Linked DNA regions of Cricetulus griseus. The protein of the gene in region 2 purifies or fractionates together with the protein of the main gene of each other region. This does not show direct contact. Links are inferred from orthologs where the notes say so. Each region holds a gene or a part of one and is shown on either strand. Other genes may lie near its edges.

Region 1 (5,601 bases), on a different chromosome or scaffold from region 2:
GATGTTCTGGATGCAGAGCTGGGGGTACCCATCTTAAGAAGGGCATTAGAGGGAGGAGGGAGGAGGGAAGGGTAGTTGGGGGGAAAATGTATAGCTCAATAAGAACAAGTTTTAAAGGGGGGGGGGCATTAGAGTGCAGGATATGAATGGGAGTACCTCTCTGAGGGCAGAGCTGTTCTGTTCCCATGTTGGTGTTAAACAGATGTTAGTGTTAAACAGGCAGATGTCTAAGACCTGATAAGACTATGAAGTTGGCAAGTAGCAGTTGACAGGGTGAGGATTTCATCTAATATCATTTTGCTTTAAACATCATTATTTAGACTACATTAATGTAAGCATTCTTTATATTTAAGGGTAACTGTTGTATATTGGTGGCCCTACTTGAAGCCAAATATATTATCATAGTTCTGCTCTTTTATGGATTGAGCCTTAAGAGTTTGAAACCTGAGGGTTTTTTGTGTTATTTTTTTCCTACTGGAAATTTCAAAGACACAGAAATAACAATATTTAAAATGGCTGATCCTAGCCTAAAAGTTTTTGTTAGTTGAGAAAACCAAAGCTAGAACCTTCTTGCTAATGAACTTGTGACGAGTTTCTAATTAACTTTATAAACCGCAAATTTAAATGTCTTAAAATTTTCTGTAAATGTTGTTTGAAAAAGAGTATTTTTGGTACAGTTTATATTAGTAAAATTCAGCTGTCAGTGGTGTCAGTCTAATAGGTTGCTCAGCATAGCAGCCCTTTAGCCCTGCCACACCCATAGTGCTCATCATCACAGGTCCCCTGCATCATTTTAATCAGTCCTTTACCCACTTTAGAACCAGTCAGCCACTGTTCTGCTTTTGCCATTTTCAGAAACTTGTAAATGGATGCCCAGTGTGTATTCATTTAGTATATTGCTTTGAGCTTCTTCATTTTGTTGGGTACAACAGTATTTCCACTCCCTTGCCCTTTTTTTTTCTTTTAAATAGCCAAATAGCATTCTAATTACAGTTGATAGACATCGGGGATATTTCATTTTGGAGCTATTATGACCAATGCTGGTGTAAAGTACTTTTTATATCTTTTGTTCAATTTTGAATTAGATTTAAGATGTAACAGTAATGTTTTTTGTTTTTCGAGACAGGGTTTCTCTGTGTAGCTTTGGAGCCTATCCTGGCACTCGCTCTGGAGACCAGGCTGGCTTTGAACTCACAGAGATCGGCCTGCCTCAGTGCTGGGATTAAAGGTGTGCGCCACCAACGCCTGGCTATCATGTAACAGTAATTTTTGTTGTTGTTACATTTAGAAATTTTTTTGAAATTATAATTACATTTCTCCTTTTCTATCAAATCCTATCATATACCCTTCTTTTTCAAACTCATGGCCCTTTTTTTTATTGTTATTGCCTGCATATATGTATATACTATATATTCCTAAATATAAACTGCTCAGTCTGCTTAATGTTACTTGTATGTATGTTTTCAGAGCTGACCATTTGGTATTGGATAACCAGTTGGTGTGCTCTTCCCTGGAGAAGATTTTTTTCTGCTCCCAGTATTCCTGTTGCTTGTAGTTCTTTTTATAGGGTTGAGGCCTCTTGGTATCTACTTTGGTATGCCCGTTGGTGTTATCCTTGTTCAGCTCATGATTGGGCAGTCATGTTGGTGAGACTTTATGAGTGTCGTTTCTGATGTTGGTACACACAGTCTCACAGCAAACCTCTGATCCTGTAGCTCTTGCATGTTTCTACCTTCTTATCCAAAATTTCCCGTGAGCCTTAGCTGTGGGAGGTTTGTAGATGTATCCGTTGGGACTGGGCTCCACAACTCTACATATTGGTAGATAGTGGTCTCTGTTTATTGCAAAGAGAACTTTCCTTTATGAGGGGGTGAAGACTACACTTACCAGGCTAGACCCAGAGGAGGACATCTGGTATTTTTATGAAGTTGCTAATAACTTGGCAATACACAGAATAATGTGAGCAAGATACAAAATAAAGGACAATTTTCTGTCTAGATATATTTAAAATACCAAAGGGGAGAGAATGTTGCTTATGTTTAGTGACACTTTTTATGCACTTTTTAGTACCTGCCTCGTTCCTGCTGGAATTCTGATAAATTTGTCTTTTTGATAATTTTTTGTGGGGATATAGAATTCCTATATCACAAGTCACTCATTTTTGAAGTGGTTTTAGAAGATTATAAAGTTGTCAGCCATCACCCTGTGCCCTCAGTTTAGAATTTAGATCTATTTTCATTTCCAGAGTTTTTAGTTCCCCAGATGTGGCACGAACATGCCATTTGTGGCTAACCTGACTCACTTACTTCTTTCAGGAAAGTTCACATTCTCGGCTCTTTCCAAAATATCAAGATGGCGAGGACTGCCATCTGCAACCTCATCCTAGGTAATAGCAGTTTATTTCTTTGGTATTTTTCTCTGATTAGGGAATGGAGGAATTTAGGCCATATTTACAAAGCTACTTTCATATTGTTAAGATACCCAGCAGAAGTCGAAGAGTTGGTGAAGGGAAAAACAGGAATATTTTACTTAGATTCCATTGGTTAGAGAAGAGAAAGGGTTTATTGGGTAATATCAAAATCTCTGTTGCTTTCCCTAAGGAGTACATAGAAAAGCCATTCCAAAATAAGAACATTTTAGGCTCTACAGAATGGGGGATGCTGAACGCATGCAGTCAACTTGATTTAATTTGATCTAGTTCTAGAGTCATAGCAACTTTCTCAGAGGACTAGGGGGTTTTCTCTGGTGTTCAGGACTGGCTGGCTAGCTTCTTTGTGAAATACTGTTTTTACAACTTTGACTTCTCTTAGGAATGCAAAGTATTTGTCTTCTATGTAGTTCTCCATGTTTGAATATATTTGTATATATAAGCTGTTTTTTTCTTGAACAGGAAATCCTCCATCAAAGGTTTATGGCAATATCCGAGCTGTGGCCAGCAGATCAGCGGACCGGTTCTGATTCCCCTTGACCCTTGAGATGTTCACAGAAAACCATGGGAAGATTTCCCAGCCACCTACTGCTCAGGTTCCTTTTCAGGTCTCAGCCCAAGCAGAAGCAGAAAGGGAAGGTTTAACAGGACTTGCACTCCCCTGCTTCTAGAATAATTTAAATATGAAAATGTAATGCTGTTAATTCTTAACACATTGAGTGTAAATTGCTGCTGTCTTTTTCACACAGAGTCAGACTCACAGTTTAAAATCCTGTCATTTAGAGGCAGCTTCTTAAGACAGATTTGTAACTAAACTTACAAGCATTTTTTCTCTGAAAATTTTAATTAAAATCTCCACCTGTGAATCACAGTCTTTGGTACAGGGCACTGTGACTGCTTCAGGGTTGGGGCATAACATTAGTCTGCACTATTGAACCTAATGTGTTCATCTTTACACTCAGTGCAGTTTATGAAATGAAAGCCCTGCACCACAAGGCTAATGAATTACTTTACAAATAAGTAATAAAAGTAAAACTGTTTTCCAAACAGTATATTCTTGTAACTAGTGTCTGTGTATATGAATTTGCTTATTTCTTATATTGTTTAGAACCTATTTCATTAAACATGAGATTTAGATACTACAGTCTCTTTTGTTTCTCAATGACCTTGACCAAAATATTGTAATGATTGGAGTATCAGGAAATTCATGCAATAACCAAATGAAGTAGTAGTTTTAAATTTTTAACTTTTTAAGAGTTGCTAAATACTTATGAGTGTTTTATGCATCTAGGTATGTGCATCATGTATGCACCTGGTACCCTAAGAATAGAGAATCTGATCCCTTAAGTGGAGTCATCAGATAAGGTTGCGAGTCACCATGTTTTCTGCAAGCAAGTCTGAGAGGTCAGCAAGTGCTCTTAACCATTGAGCCGTCTCTCCAGCTCCTCTTGATTTTTGAGACAGGATATGTAGCTAGTCCAAGCTGGCTGTAACTGTCTAGCCCCACTTGCCTCAAACTTGGGACAGTCTCCTGCCTCAATATACCATGTGCCAGGGTTACAACTGTGTGCTATCATGCCCTGTTTAGTAGTATTTTTGTTAAGCTTGGGTTCCCTATTATCAGTGGGAAGTGCTAACTGTCCTAGCTGCTTTGTACCTTGCTCATGCTGTCTACCAACAGGAAATTGCTGGAGTGTTCCCCCAAAGGACAGAATGTTCAATATTATCAAACCTCATTAAAAAGAACTTGTTGGGAATTCTTTATTCTGAAATCTATAGAGCATTTAGGAGGTACAAATCCACTCTCAGTCTGCTCAGTGAGGGGATTAAAAATTGTGATGACATCTACCATTTGCCTTTCTGGGAAATGATGTCTATGGTTTTAATGCTTTTTTTAAGAGTCAAAAGTGACTAGATAACAGTATTTGGGATTTAATTATAAGAAACTGAAGCAGAGTTAAGAACGTAATTTTTGCCTTAGAAAGTTTGAGATTCTATGTTAAAGTACAATGTTTGCATTTCTCCTTCCAAGTACTACTGAGAGAAAGATAGAATGAGAGGGAAGGGGGGGAGGGAGAGAGAGAGCGTGGGAGAGAGAGAGAGAGAGAGAGAGAGAGAGAGAGAGAGAGAGAGAAAGGTTGCTGGTAGTTAAATCTAACAACCTGGACTAAATCACTACTCCCTTAACATCTCCAGTGCCATTATACTACAGCCAATCTGAAACCTGTTTCTGTGGCACTGCCGTGCTGTAAGGCCAAGTGGTCTCTTGGATAGATACTATTACAACTCCAACTTTATTTTACTTATTTATTAACACATTGTCTGAGTTAAAAGAAAAGTGAGTTTCATAGGTAAAGCTATGGTCCAACTGGGGGATTCCACAAGATTTGGGCTTGTGCCTGCCTAGCACTAGTGATAAGGATGAAGGTTAATGATTGTTGAGCATGTGGGGACAGACTCAATTGTACTCTTCCAAGAGCCAGGTTATGATTGGAGCAACACACTTCTGTTACATTATAGCCAATCTGAAATGCAAAGGACCAGTCACGTGCAAAGGACTTGTCTTGGGAAAGCACTGCTTATTTGGCCAAAGAAATCACAATCTCCAGGAACTCAAGCCATTTGGATTGGTTAGCTGATAGGGAAGGGAAAGGTCGCAAGAGGACTCAGCAGCTCTACAGCAACGTGAATCTGATGTGGGGGAGTTTTTGAGCACTTAATGATGAATATTCAAGACATGAGCTTGAACACCATTTTCTTTGTACACCCTGGGAACTATCTAGAAACTACCATCTTGTCTACATCATTCTAAAATATTCCACACATTAAAGAATTCTTTTTGAGGTCTAGAGAGATGGCTCAGCAGTTACAAGCACTAACTGCTCTTCCAGAGGACCCAGGTTCAATTCCCAGTACCCACATAGCAGCCCATGCCTTCCAGTTTCAGGGGACCACAGCAAAACACCAATGCACATAAAAAATAATATAAAATTCTTTTTTGGAAATACAGCTTTCCATGTTAACCATTGTATTATGAATACAACTTAGTAACTATTTAATGTGAAGCCATCACATTTTCTGTCTTCTGAACCTCTGTACAAGTTTTTAAAAGATTTCCATTTCTTCCTGTTGTCCTTGGCACAAACTATTCTGCATTTGTCTCTAGGAATTTT
Region 2 (6,764 bases):
AGTGCTCTCAACTGATGAGCTATCACCTCAGCCCCAACACTATTCTTTAATAAAGAAAGCACTTCTGGTTGTGCTAGACAATTTTTGTTTCCCAAGAAAGGTTCTCACTCTCTAGCCCAGGCTGGCCTTGAACCCAAGTTCAGTTCCCAGTACCCATACCCACCTGTAAGGCTAACTCCAGGGGATCTGACACCACGGGCCTCTAAAGGCACCTGAACTCAGGTGCACATATCCACACACAGGAGCACTAGTGCGCATATCCACACACACACACACACACACACACACACACACACACACACACACACACAATTAAAAAATTTTAATTAAACAAGTAGCTCAAACTGCAATCTGACCACCACAAATAGATGCCAATGACTATGAATAATTGTAGGACTCCAAGCCGGGTCCAAACATCTGCTCGCAGTCATCTACTGACCTTGGCTGCCCAGGGTGGAGGCAGCTGTGTGGTAAGTCTCACAGTCCACACAAAATGTTCCTTGTTTCTCTGCCCCAAGCATCTCCAATTTCCTGGTGAGGAGCTCCACCGTCTGCTGGACACTCTTGCCCTCAGCCACAGGCATCTGGGACACACTGAGAAACAGAACAGTCAGCAGTGTCCAGAGACAAACATGCTCTGGCTGAGCCACTCATTCCCAAATAGTTACCAGATCAACAGGACTAGGAGTTACTTTAGATAACACTAACTCTGATCCTGCCCCTTAAACTGAGAAAGGAAGAGGCCCACAGTCCAAGAGTTCCTTTAACAGGCAGAACACAGGTCTCAAGTGTCTCACACAGGGACATGGAACTTTCTACCACATCAGCATTCCCAAGTAAGGTACAAATACCAACATTAAGTGTTGATTCTAGGTAGCACACACTGCACACATTCAGTGTCACTGAGTTGTACAGTGGATGTGATTGATGGTTTACGTGCCAACATGACAGGACCTAGAAGCTTGGAGATAGGGTCTTACAATGCCGCCGAAGATGATCTGGAGTTCACTGAATTAGCCTGAGCTGATCTCACTCTTTTAGCAATCCTTCTGTCTCGGCCTCCCAGGTGCTGGAATTATAGGGGTATACTTGGCTGAGACCTATTTCTTAAACAAACTCCTGACCCTGTCTGTGAGATTCTTATTTAACTAAGGTGTGGATAAATCAGCTGAGTAGGACACCACACGTGCTCTCGCGCACGCGCACACACACCCAAACACACACACCCCCACACACCCCTACCTACCTCTTGACTATGGACATAATGTGACCAGCCACCTCATTCTATTTAAACTCAACTAGTGAGCCAAAATAAACCCTATCATAAGCTGCTTTTGTCAGGTATAGAGCCCCAGGAGGCTGGTGGATAATATTCTGGACATTGTGGACAGAACTTTCCCACTATCACAGAGTTCCATTTAAAGGCACTAAGAACAAAGAGAACGCATCCCTCGAGTGTATACGCCTAGAAAAAGAGACAATAGTCGTTTCAAGGACCAGTGAGCAATACATAAAACAGAAGAGTCACTAAACTGACACTGTGACAGAAACTCTGTGATTTTGAGAGAGTTGAACCGATACTAGTAGGAAGGGAAACCTTTTCTCTGTATAATGAACCCTAGGCAGGCAGGCATTGGTGGAGCACTCCTGTGATCCCAGGATGCAGGAGTCAGAGGCAGGTGATCGACAGCCCATAAAAACATATACAGAAATGTTTTATAGGGCCCAGTGACTCTGCTGTGATTTCTATTTTCACTGCTGACAGGTACTTTTTACGGTGTGATGAGGTTGAGATAAGGCTCCTGGTGTCAACTAATTTGCACGTATAGTAGTCACTAAAAACCCTGCAAGAGCCTGGGTTTCCTGAAGAACATCCCACACACACATTATACAGAACAGCTGGGAAGACACACACCACTACCAAGATTTTTTTTAACGTGCTGAAGCCTAGTACTTTGGAATTAATGCCCTGAAGAAAAGCACGGTGTCCAGACATTACCAATCACCTCTCTTTTTCCAAGTGAGATTTAAAACACGTTTCAGATAAAAAACAAAAAAAAACCCAAACCTGACTCAAACATGTAGGAAGTGATTCTTGGATAGTTAATGTGCCTGGAACCCCGACCTCCAAACCTCCAACAGCTCCTTTTCCTCTCCCTCTGACATTAGACCAAATTAAAGCCAGGCTATTATTACTGCAAGCAAAATGTAAAAGTCACTTTCTCCTAGAGCGCCCCCCTCTTTTTTATCGCTGCCTGCAAATAATTCTTAGTGCGAAAGCCTATTCCCAACTTTTAGGTCCTATTGGCGACAATACTATGGCCTGACGGACATGAAGAAGTACCAAGAAAAAGAAGGTACGACTCCTGACAGGTTCCTGGAATGAAGAGTTGGCTTTGCCAAAAGGATGCGCCTGGGAAGGAAGAAGCACCACACGGCGTCCCTTGCTGCAACACGACCCGAGGACATCTTTGTCAGCCCGCGAGGAACCGAGAGCTTCCGTCCCGATCCCCCTCCTGGGGCCTTCACGACCCCAAGCTCCGTCCCACAAGAGCCCCTGCAGTCCTACCAAGTCACTCCCATGGCGCAGGGTCAAAGGGGTGGCACTGCCAAACACTCGAAGTCAAGGGATCCAGAGGCCCCTGGAGGTAGAGCCGCCTAAAGCAGGATGCAGGCTCCGGAAATACGCAAAATCTGAGCGCCAGAGCGGTACACCCACAGAAGGGAGGCGTGCCCGGGCGCTCCAGCGATGAACGAATTCCGTCATCAGCCCGGCTCCGCCCCCAGGGCGCGCTTTGCTTTGACAGGACCTCTCAGGCTACATTCATGAATTCTGTCTGGAAAAGGTGACTTGGGACATCCACCCACTTCCGTACAATGAGATTACCTGAGAATCTGGGGAGTCCAGCTCCCGCCCCGGAGCTCCTGGAGAGATGGCGGTATATGAGGCACTTCCGGCCTCCGAACGCTGGGGGGCGCTGTGAACTCTCGGTGACCTCCCGAGCACCGGAACACAGGGCGCAGACACAGTCCTAGTTTTAAACCGGCTTCCCACGTGTGAGTAGCATCGGCAAGTTTTTCGAGAAAAATGCCCAAATTGAAGGTGGCCCGCGGGGCCCGGAATCAGGAGAAGCATGCACCTCTGGCCGAGCAGATTCTGGCTGGGAATGCAGTGCGCGCGGGGACCCGAGACAAGCGGCGGGGACGCGGGGTTGAAGAGGAGGAAGAGTATGTTGGACCCCGGCTGAGCAGACGCATTTTGCAGCAAGCCAGGCAACAGCAGGAGGAGCTCGAGACTGAACACGGGACTGCAGACCAGCCTGCAAAGCCACGGGAACGCGCCACGCGGCTGGGTGAGTGACACGGGCTGGAGTGGTGGCATGGGCCGGACTAGCTCAGTCCATCCGGATACGGGTTTGGAATTACAAAGAGGAGGCAGTTTTTCCTTCCCGCGTGGTCCTTCACTTCAACGCGTACCTTCTGGAACCTACCTCAGAGTTCCAACAGGAAGTAATCACTCACACCAAGTTCCAGTATTTATTCTCTGGGCTTGTGAAGTATGACTGTGTTTCCTGTGCAATGCTTTGAACTGTGTTAAGAGTTCAGGCAGTTCTAAGCCGGGCGGTGGTGGCACACACATTTAGTCCCAGCACTCGGGAGGCAGAGGCAGGCTGATCTCTGTGAGTTCGATCCACAGAGAAACACTGTCTTGAAACCCCCCCCCCCAATAAAAAAGAGTTTAGGCAGTTCTGATACCGAAATAAACAATGTACTCGTCCTTGCTTTTAGCACCGGAAGTCTACCCCAAGGCAGAGAATATTAAATAGAGTAACATATTCCAGCAATGAGCAGCGGTGCTCGCCTGTAATCCCAGCAGGTGAGAAGCTGAGGCAGAAGAAGGCCCTCGTGGACTACATAGTAAGGTCCAGATCAGCCTGATATACATGGTATACCTCTATCGATCGAGACAGTAAAAGAAAATGAATATATTCCTATTCAAAACAACAACAACAAACCCGCCATTAATTCAACAGGCCAGGCACCCCAGTTTTGTGCCCTGCCGACTAAGATATAAAAAACATGGGAAATGTTCCATTAACCGAGGCAGGAAAACAGTTTAGAATCGAGTGGGGGTGGGCGGCAGAGATGAGTGGGAAAGTACCTGATACTTGTCTCATTGGGAAGGTTGACCTCCAGTTTCTTAGTCTTGCCTTCTTATTCTAAAAGCAGTATTGAGATGATTGAATATGGCTTTAGGGCCATAGTAGCTTTACTTCCTTGTTTTGAGGTAGGGTCTCATTCCCAGGATGGCCTCAAACTCTGTATGTAGGTGAGGATGACCTTGAACTACTGATTTTTGCCTCTGTTTTTCCAACTGATGGCAATATAGATATTTGACACCACACCTGCCCTTAAATTTTTGTTTTTAAATTACGATACTGTGTCTCCTTAAGTTACTCATGCGGGACTTGAACTTGCTCTGTGACCAGAGCAGGCCTGAGTTTTAGGTTTTCCTGTGTTGCTGTCTGCAGATTCCGGTTTGAAACCATGCATTTGATGACTACTCCCAGCTTTTTCTCTCAGACATAGTTCTTTCAGTAAACTAACATCCCTATATCCACCTGTCTACCTGACATCTCACTGCTTGCTCCATGGAGTCTCTTAGCACATTAGCCTCCCCTTGCTCAAGGCTCCTCTTTCTCATTCTACATCAGGTTTGTCAGTAAACCCTGATGATTTGTGTCTTCAGGATATATCCACTTCCTTAGCTTGGAACATCCTCCTGTTTGAGTTCCCTTGAATCACTGTGGGAGCATCATCATTTACTGTTCTCTAACGTCTGTAATCCATTCGTCAGCTAGTGATCAGTGACAACCTGTTGGGTCCACCTCTGCTGACCAGATGCTAGGGAGGTGATGAGAAAATTCAGTTGGTGAAATACATGCTTTGGAAGCAAGAGCCCCTGACCTCAATACACAGCAGCTCGTAATCCCAGAACTAGGGGGTTGAAGACAGATTTCCTGGTCTACATAGTGAGCTCCAATCAGCCAGAGCTACACAGAGAAACCCTGTCTCGAAAAACAAACCAAAAAAAGGCACTTATTTTTTCAGAAAGACGAGAGTTTGGTTCCAAGTATTCACATGCCAGACCACTGCTATCTATAACTCCAATTCCAAGGGCTCATATGCCCTCTTCTGACCTCTTTGGGCACCAGGGACATTTATGACTCACAGGCATACACATAAAATAGTGTATATAAGTCTAAAACAAAATTAAAAAAAAAAACCAACAAAACATGGGTCTCGCTGGACATGCTCTGCGTACTCTCCTGAGCTATGTGTACCCTTAGTCCAATTCTGTTGCAAATGACCTGTTGTTATATAATATTTCAACTCCTTTGGTTTGTTAGACTCTTCCAGGGTCTTTGCCAGCTATGTGTGGTGTTTCAAAAGTCAGCCAGGTGTATTGGCACGTGACTTTAAATCTGAGCACTAAGGAAGCAGAGGCAGACAGATTTCTGTGAGCTTGAGCAAGTTCCATACCAGCCAAGGTTACATGGTCAGACCCTTGTCTCTCAAAAACAACAACAAAAACAAACAAACCAAGAGTTCAGTGTTAGAATTACAAACATGGACCACACTGTCTAACACTTGGGAGGTAGAGACAGAAGAACAGCCTCAGGGCAACACATAGACTAATAGAAATGGGTTAATTTCAATTAAAAAGCTAAGCAGAAACAAGCCTAAAGCTAAGGCCAAACATTCATAATTAGTAGTAAGACTATGTCATGATTTGGGCTCTGGCAGTCCCAAGAAAGCCTGCTGCTCCGAGTCTGTAACTTCACATGTATATATTGGTTGATTAGAAACCAAATACCGCTGCCTAGCCTTGGGGCCTTCCCGGTTGGATGTACTTTTCCTTTGTGGTCCTATGGTCCTATTTCTGGCTCTGGCTTCTTAATGCCCAACAGTAATATTAAAGTCCTTTTCTAGGATATGAGACACACACTTCTTCCCAAATTGCCCATTCAAAGCCTCATCACCCTCTGCAGTAATCTAAGTGCTTGTGTTGCACCCTGCCTCCACCATGGTTTTAGTTTTAGTACATGATGTAGCTCTGTTGTGCAAGAGGCATAGTGGGGAAGAAGGGAAGGTTAGGACGCGAACTGCCTGCTATGGGCACATCACTTTTCTGTCCCGGTTTGACCTGGGTACAGGGATAGTGCCCACTTCTTGAGGTTGCCTGGACTAACCAGGTTCCATGTGTGTACTATAGGACGGATCCTTCTAGATCACTGGAGACAGCGTGTCAACCATTATTTATTAGCATCACTCTGTTTCGCGTGTTGTATTTTATTGCTCAAGATTCCAAGTCTCTGGGGACAGAAAGATAGTTTGTAACTCTCTGTTCCTTCCTTGTGCACATGTGTATCTCCAGCACCCTGGGCATGCAGTCCATGGCAGAAGTGGACTGACTCAGAAGCCCCATGCTTATCATTTTGTCTTCCCTCTTTAGGTCTGGGAGTGCCCCAGGATGGAACCGACGATGAGGATGAGGAATGGCCCACCCTGGAAAAGGCAGCCAAAATGACCGGAGTGGACCACCAAGCAGAGGTGGTTGTGGACCCTGAAGATGAATGGGCCATTGAAATATTCATGAATAAGAACCCTCCTATGAGGTAGGACTTAAGAGTTGGGACAGTAGATCCTGGTAGAAAGTTCCCACAAGCTAGTTCCCTGGCCAGCTTTTGGTCTGAGTATTG
Region 3 (6,246 bases), on a different chromosome or scaffold from region 2:
CTTGCTGGCCTAGAACTCTGGCCTCCAGCTCTGAGAGATGTGCCCACCCTTGCCTCCTAAGTGCTCAGTTTAAAAGCCCAGGGGCCACCACACTTTCTGATCTCTTCTGATGTTTTATGTTAAAGTTCCCTTGCTACTTTTACAAACCAACAGGGGGGTCTGGAGTTGTGCTTTGATGTGGCAGCATCTGTGTTTTTGAAGATGCAAATGAGTGAGAGAGTCTTTGAACCTTTGTGTTGCTAGGTTCTGGCAGAGAAGAGGCAGCTGGGCAGCAAGGATGGGCCTCCTCATCACGTGCTCGTGGTGCCTCTGCACAATAGGATTTCTCTTCCAGAGGCATTTAGGCTGCTTCAGAATGAAGACTTGGGAACAGTGTACTTGAAAGAATGGGGGAGCACCCAAAACTTTATGCTTCTGTGCCCCGGTTTGAAACATCGGTGGTTTTTCACATATGCAAGACCAGGTTAGAGTATCCAATACTTTTTGTCATTATGTTTTAAGTAGTTGTATTTCTTGATTCTAGTGTGCTAACTACTACTTACTGTGTCTGCTGTTTTCAGGAGATCTGCATACTGTATTAGACATGGCTAAAGTTGCTGATACCATCCTTTTCCTCTTGGATCCACTAGAAGGCTGGGACAGCACTGGGGATTACTGTCTATCTTGCCTGTTTGCACAGGGTCTTCCCACCTATAGTAAGTGTTGGAATATTGGAAACCCGCAAAGAAAGTTAATTAGCATTTTTTGGTGCAACTCTGATCTTCCAGGCAGTGTTTAACATTTGATTTAGGAATACAACCAAGCCGTTATATTCTGCTCTCCAAATTAAATGCTTTTTAAATTCCTTTAAATTTTTTTCTTTTATTATCATTACGTTTGTTTTGTATTTTTTGAAACAGGGTTTCTTTGTGTAGCCGCCCTAGCTTTCCTGGAACTCACTTTGTAGATCAGGCTGGCCTAACCCACAGAGATCTGTCTGCTCCAGCCTCCCTAGTAATGGTATTAAAGGCATGCACCTGCATTGCAAGGCTTAAAGACAATTTTTATTTCTGGGCTGTCCTTTGCCCAGGGAAAGAACAGGAAGATGTACTTCACTGTGACATTTCTTTAGTGTTAGCTTGTTGAGTTTCCCAGTGATCCCTGGGTTGTTGTGATCTGGAAATGAATATTCTAGTAGTGAAACAGTAAGTGACTAAGCTCTTTCTTTCTCACCTTTAGCACTAGCTGTCCAGGGGCTTTCTGGCCTCCCACCAAAGAAACAAATAGATGCCAGAAAGAAGCTAAGTAAAACAGTGGAGAAACGCTTTCCCGAAGACAAACTTCTGTTGCTAGACACACAACAGGAGGCAGGAATGCTGCTTAGACAGCTGGCTAACCAGAAGCAACGCCATCTTGCTTTTCGAGATCGGAGAGCTTACTTGTTTGCCCATGTCGCTGACTTCGTGCCTAGTGAGGAGAGTAACTTAGTTGGCACTTTGAAAATCTCAGGCTATGTTCGTGGGAGGACTCTGAATGTAAATAGTTTGCTGCATGTTGTTGGACATGGTGATTTCCAAATGAGTCAGATAGATGCACCTGTGGACCCTTTCCCTTTAACTCCTAGAGTCATTAAATCTCAGAAGAAACAAAGCATGGCAATGGAGGTAAGATTGATGGGAATGGAACCAGGGCCTCAGCAGGCACTCTACTACTACTTGGCTATAGTCATTGCCCAAGATTGTTGTTTTTAACTCCCTCTTCCCCCACAGGGTTCCTCTGTGGCTTTGGAGCCTGCCCTGGCACTGGTTCTGTAGACCAGGCTGGTCTGAAACTCACTTAGATCCTCCTGCCTCTGTCCCCAAATGCTGGGATTAAAGGCATGTGGTTTTTTTTTGTTTGTTTTGTTTTGTTTTTTTTTTTTTTTTTTTTTTTTACAAAGCTTATTTTTTGTATGCCGACGAGGGTGCATATTACTGGTGTGGAGGGCAGGGACAATTTGCCAGGGTTTGGTTCTCTTCTACTTTGTGGGCCCAGAGGATTAGAATTAGGTCATTGGGTTTGGAGGCCCAGGCAGTTTTTTTGTTTTTTGTTTTTCAAGACAGGGTTTCTCTATGTAGCTCTGGCTGTCCTAGAACTTGGTCTATAGACCAGGCCAGCCTTCCAAGTATTGGGATTAAAGTTGATTAAAGTGATACCACTGCCTGACATTTTTTTTTTTTAAGAGTGTATATTTGTAAATTGGCACAGGATGGAAAAACAATTCTCTCTCTCTCTCTCTCTCTCTCTTTTTTTTTTTTCTTTTTTAAATTATTTTGGTTTTTCTAGACAGGATTTCTCTTTAGCTTTGGAGCCTGTCCTGGAATTCCTCCTCTGTAGACGAGGCAGGCCTTGAACTCACAGAGATCTGCCTGCCTCTGTCTCACTTGTGCTGGGATTAAAGATGTGTGCCACCACTGCCTGGCTGGAAAATTTAATTTTCAGAGAAGATAGTTTGCACACTTATTGGGCATGTACGACTGCTAGTTTGAAAGTAAGGCAATAGACAATTAGAACATGTTGATCAAGTGTATTTATCTAGTATTCTTTGGGGTTGGCTCTGCCTTCATGGCAGATGTTGCCTCTTCTCAGAATTTATTTGAATTATAAATCAAATTATCAAACACTTGTAAATTTAAAATTTACAGTAGCATATTCACAGTAGACCTGCTGTGGAAATTGAGAGTACACTAGCTAGCTACACAAGAGAGATCAGAGTCAGCCAAGTGTTCAGAAGAATGAGTTCCACAGAGGTGAAAGAATGTCTTGGGGACTATGGATCTAGGTATAGTGAAGGAGTAGAGGATTTCTTTGAACTTTTATTAATAAAAGACTGAACCTCAACTATGTAGCAGTGACTGTCCAGAGACTTAGTGTATAGAACAGGCTGGACTTAAATTTTGCAGAGAACAGTTTGCCTCTGCCAATTGAATGTTGAGATAAAAGGTGTGCACTACCATGCTGGGAGGGAGCAGTTTGGTTGAAATGGAAAATTCCAGCATTTGGGAGGCAGAGGCAGGTGGATCTCTTAAGTTCTAGGCCAGCCTGGTCTGCAGAGAGGGTTTTAGGACAGCCAAGGCTGCACAAAGAGACCTTGTCTTAAAACACAATCAAAAGGGGGAAGGGTATAATAAGCAGGTGGGAGAGGTCAGGTTTTCTTAGAAACAGTCTCAAGAGTTATGCAGGTGAACACAGTTGAAATGCTAGGAGATGCCCATTTGGAAATTTTGGTATGTTTTGATTTTCTGTTTAATTTGTGGATCTTTCAAGTTATTATTAGATTTATCAGATTTTAGTTAATGTCTGACAGGCCATTACCTGATTTTGGTTTTTAGATTTGTGCAGCAGATACTACAGCTGACATGGAAGAAGACCTTAAGGTTCTGATGAAGGCAGACCCTGACCAACAGGAGTCTTTACAAACAGAAGCTGTTCTAGATCCAATGGAAGGGGAGCAAACCTGGCCCACTGAGGAGGAACTGAATGAGGCAAATGGTCAGTGATAGCAAACATGTTGAATAGTTCTTGCTCACTGCTTGCTTATAAGGCTGGATGAGGAAGTGATTGAAGTTCAAATACTAGAGCTCTGCTTTCTCTCTCAAAATCACTCTAGGCTTGTCTTTTTAAACAATAAATGATAGTAGTCTACTGCAGGGATTTTTTTAGCTGTATATTTGTTGCTAACTGGGGCAGCTGAATTAAATTTGGAAGCCTTCTGTTCTCATGTAGCTGTTATTTTCTCATGTTGGTAGCAGTGTCTGCATAAGTGAGAATACAGAAAGTATAATTAATATATAAAATACTTAATTGTTTGGGTTTTACAGACTTATTGAAGCAACGTTCTAGGGTGGTAAAGAAGGTCCCTAAAGGAACATCCAATTACCAAGCTGAATGGATTTTGGATGAAGGTGATGAAAGTGACGAGGAAGGTGATGAATATGATGATGATACACAACATGAAGGGTTAATGGAAGAGGAATCTCAGGTAAGAAAACAGGCCATTGGGATGGACAGACGGGGCGCGCGCGCACGCACACACACACGCGCGCGCGCACACACACACACACACACACACACACACACACACACACACACACACACACCACCCACCACACTCCAAAAACATGGCTGTGTGAAGTCATCTGCTTAATTATGGAAAGGATATGTTTGTTTGTTTTGTTTTTTGAGACAGGGTTTCTCTGTGGCTTTGGAAGCTATCCTGGCATTTGATCTGTAGACCAGACTGGCCTCGAACTCACAGAGATCCACCTACCTCTGCCTCCTAAGTGCTAGGATAAAAGTCCTGTATCATTACTACACCCAGTGCTCTAGAGGGTGTGTGTGTGTGTGGGGGGGGGGGTTAGGAACAAACTTGCTGGAGTCGTTCTCCTTTTCCACTATTTGGGTCCCTGTATAGAAATCAACTGCCTTTCCTCACTGAGCCACCTTGTTGGTGCTATGATTTTCTTTTTTGGGTTGTCAGGGGTGGGGGAATATAGTCTTATGCATCTCAGGCTTGTCTAGAACTCTAGCTGAAGCGGTGTGGATACTGTTTGCAGGCGTGTGGAATCTGCCCAACTTTAGGTAGCACTGGGGATCTAACCGAGAGCTTTATGTGTGTCAGGAAGGCACTTCTACCAGTGGAGCTACGTCCTCTTCCCTTTTCGGGCTTGTTACTTTTTTTTCTTTTATTTTTGGAGACAGGGTTTCTCTGTGAAACAGTCTTGCCAATAAACTCATAGTGAATCTCCTGCCTCAGCTTCCTAAATCCCAAGACTAAAGTGTGTTTCATGATGCATATTTGCAATTCCCCATTCATTTTACAGGATGAGAGTAGTGAGGAAGAGGAGGAGTGTGAAACTATGACTCTAGGGGAGTCTGTGCATGATGATCTCTACGATGAGCAAGTAGATGAAGAGGCTGAGGAGAGAATGTTGGAGAAATACAAACAAGAAAGATTGGAAGAGATGTTTCCAGATGAAATGGATACCCCCCGTGATGTGGCTGCTAGAACTCGGTTAGTCAGCAAGTGATTTCAGACAAGTTTTATTTGAAAAATTTTCATGGTTTAGAATTATTCGAGTAGGATGCAAATGGGAAAAACACATTGTCCTTTTTTCTTGAAGGGCAAGCATGCTACAGGAGAAGCAGCAACATATAGTCAAGGTATAGATTTGTTCAGAGTGAAACAGACATACCTAGTTTAATTAGCAAATATTCCTTGCAGGAGTAAGTGCTCAGAAATATGGATTTGGGAGGTGAAAGTACATATTTTGAAATGAAGCTTATAAAAGTAAAAGTAATAAAACGTAGTTGATTTTTCTGGATGTAAGCCTGACTAAAAGCCAGTATCAGTGTTGGGTACGAGAGTGGTAAGGCAGGTTGAAGAGCTGTATTCCATAACAGGCACTATAAATTCTTTGTCCCCTGTGAAAAGTCTGGGTTGATTTTGAAATAGTTATTAGAAGCTGTTGTAGGACATGGTTTTTGCTAAAGCTATTAGTTTGTAGTTTGTTTGAAAGATAGGGTCTCATGTGGATCAGGCTATTATGGATCTTCTGCCTCCACTTCCCAAGTGTTGGGTTATAGGTGTATATTTCCATGCCCATGTGTAGCTCATTAGGGTATTTTGAATGCCTAGTGAGTAATTTTGTTTCTTGAGCCAGTTTTGCTTTGTAGCTCAGGCAGACATGAAACACATGGTGTACCCCAACCTTCCCAGTAGATTAGAGCCACACTTAAAGCCTTGTTAGGTTTGTTGTGTACTAGAGGTAAGCATTTTACCACTGACTTACATTCTTAGATAAGAGTAATTTTAAAAAGTGAGAGCCTTGACTATTTTAGAAGTGAGGTGAGTCTTATATAGCACCATCTAACCACTTACTTTCTTAGATTTCAGAAATATAGAGGCCTCAAGAGCTTCAGGACATCTCCTTGGGACCCCAAGGAAAACCTTCCTCGAGATTATGCTCGGATCTTCCAGTTTCAGAATTTTATTAATACTAGAAAAAGAATCTTTAAAGAGATTGAGGAAAAAGAAGCTGAAGGAGCCGAGGTACCTGCCATCTTGTCTACCTTATAATTTGTTTTTGACACAATGCTACTTGTTTGGGAACAAAGGGATTTGAGATAATTAACTGAGAAGGTTGAATCTGGGTGGTTGGCACACCCATGAATGATGAGGCCTGGCATGTATTTCGAGAAAGTTTCGTCACTATTGGGACATTAAAG

Evidence for each region.
Region 1: the proteins of bystin (region 2) and Pno1 fractionate together in Homo sapiens (co-fractionation; 4 studies listed by BioGRID and IntAct, with this or other methods). This does not show direct contact. The link is inferred for Cricetulus griseus from reciprocal best matches to the Homo sapiens genes BYSL and PNO1.
Region 3: the proteins of bystin (region 2) and Tsr1 purify together in Homo sapiens (affinity purification with mass spectrometry; 3 studies listed by BioGRID and IntAct, counting the BioPlex papers as one, with this or other methods). This does not show direct contact. The link is inferred for Cricetulus griseus from reciprocal best matches to the Homo sapiens genes BYSL and TSR1.

What each region holds. Positions count from the first base shown.
Region 1 is NW_023276807.1:89,075,226-89,080,826, forward strand, and holds the end of Pno1 (RNA-binding protein PNO1), read left to right. Parts: intron 1-2,315; coding exon 2,316-2,386; intron 2,387-2,890; coding exon 2,891-2,958; 3' UTR 2,959-4,185; downstream 4,186-5,601. UniProt on the Homo sapiens protein: Part of the small subunit (SSU) processome, first precursor of the small eukaryotic ribosomal subunit.
Region 2 is NW_023276806.1:255,578,173-255,584,936, forward strand, and holds the start of bystin, read left to right. Parts: upstream 1-2,992; 5' UTR 2,993-3,088; coding exon 3,089-3,353; intron 3,354-6,517; coding exon 6,518-6,680; intron 6,681-6,764. Other genes in the region: mediator of RNA polymerase II transcription subunit 20, read right to left, coding at 440-594, 2,570-2,583. UniProt on the Homo sapiens protein: Required for processing of 20S pre-rRNA precursor and biogenesis of 40S ribosomal subunits. May be required for trophinin-dependent regulation of cell adhesion during implantation of human embryos.
Region 3 is NC_048600.1:88,350,269-88,356,514, forward strand, and holds part of Tsr1 (pre-rRNA-processing protein TSR1 homolog), read left to right. Parts: intron 1-243; coding exon 244-463; intron 464-560; coding exon 561-695; intron 696-1,218; coding exon 1,219-1,643; intron 1,644-3,350; coding exon 3,351-3,510; intron 3,511-3,839; coding exon 3,840-4,000; intron 4,001-4,841; coding exon 4,842-5,032; intron 5,033-5,045; exon of another isoform or gene 5,046-5,907; coding exon 5,908-6,070; exon of another isoform or gene 6,071-6,246. UniProt on the Homo sapiens protein: Required during maturation of the 40S ribosomal subunit in the nucleolus.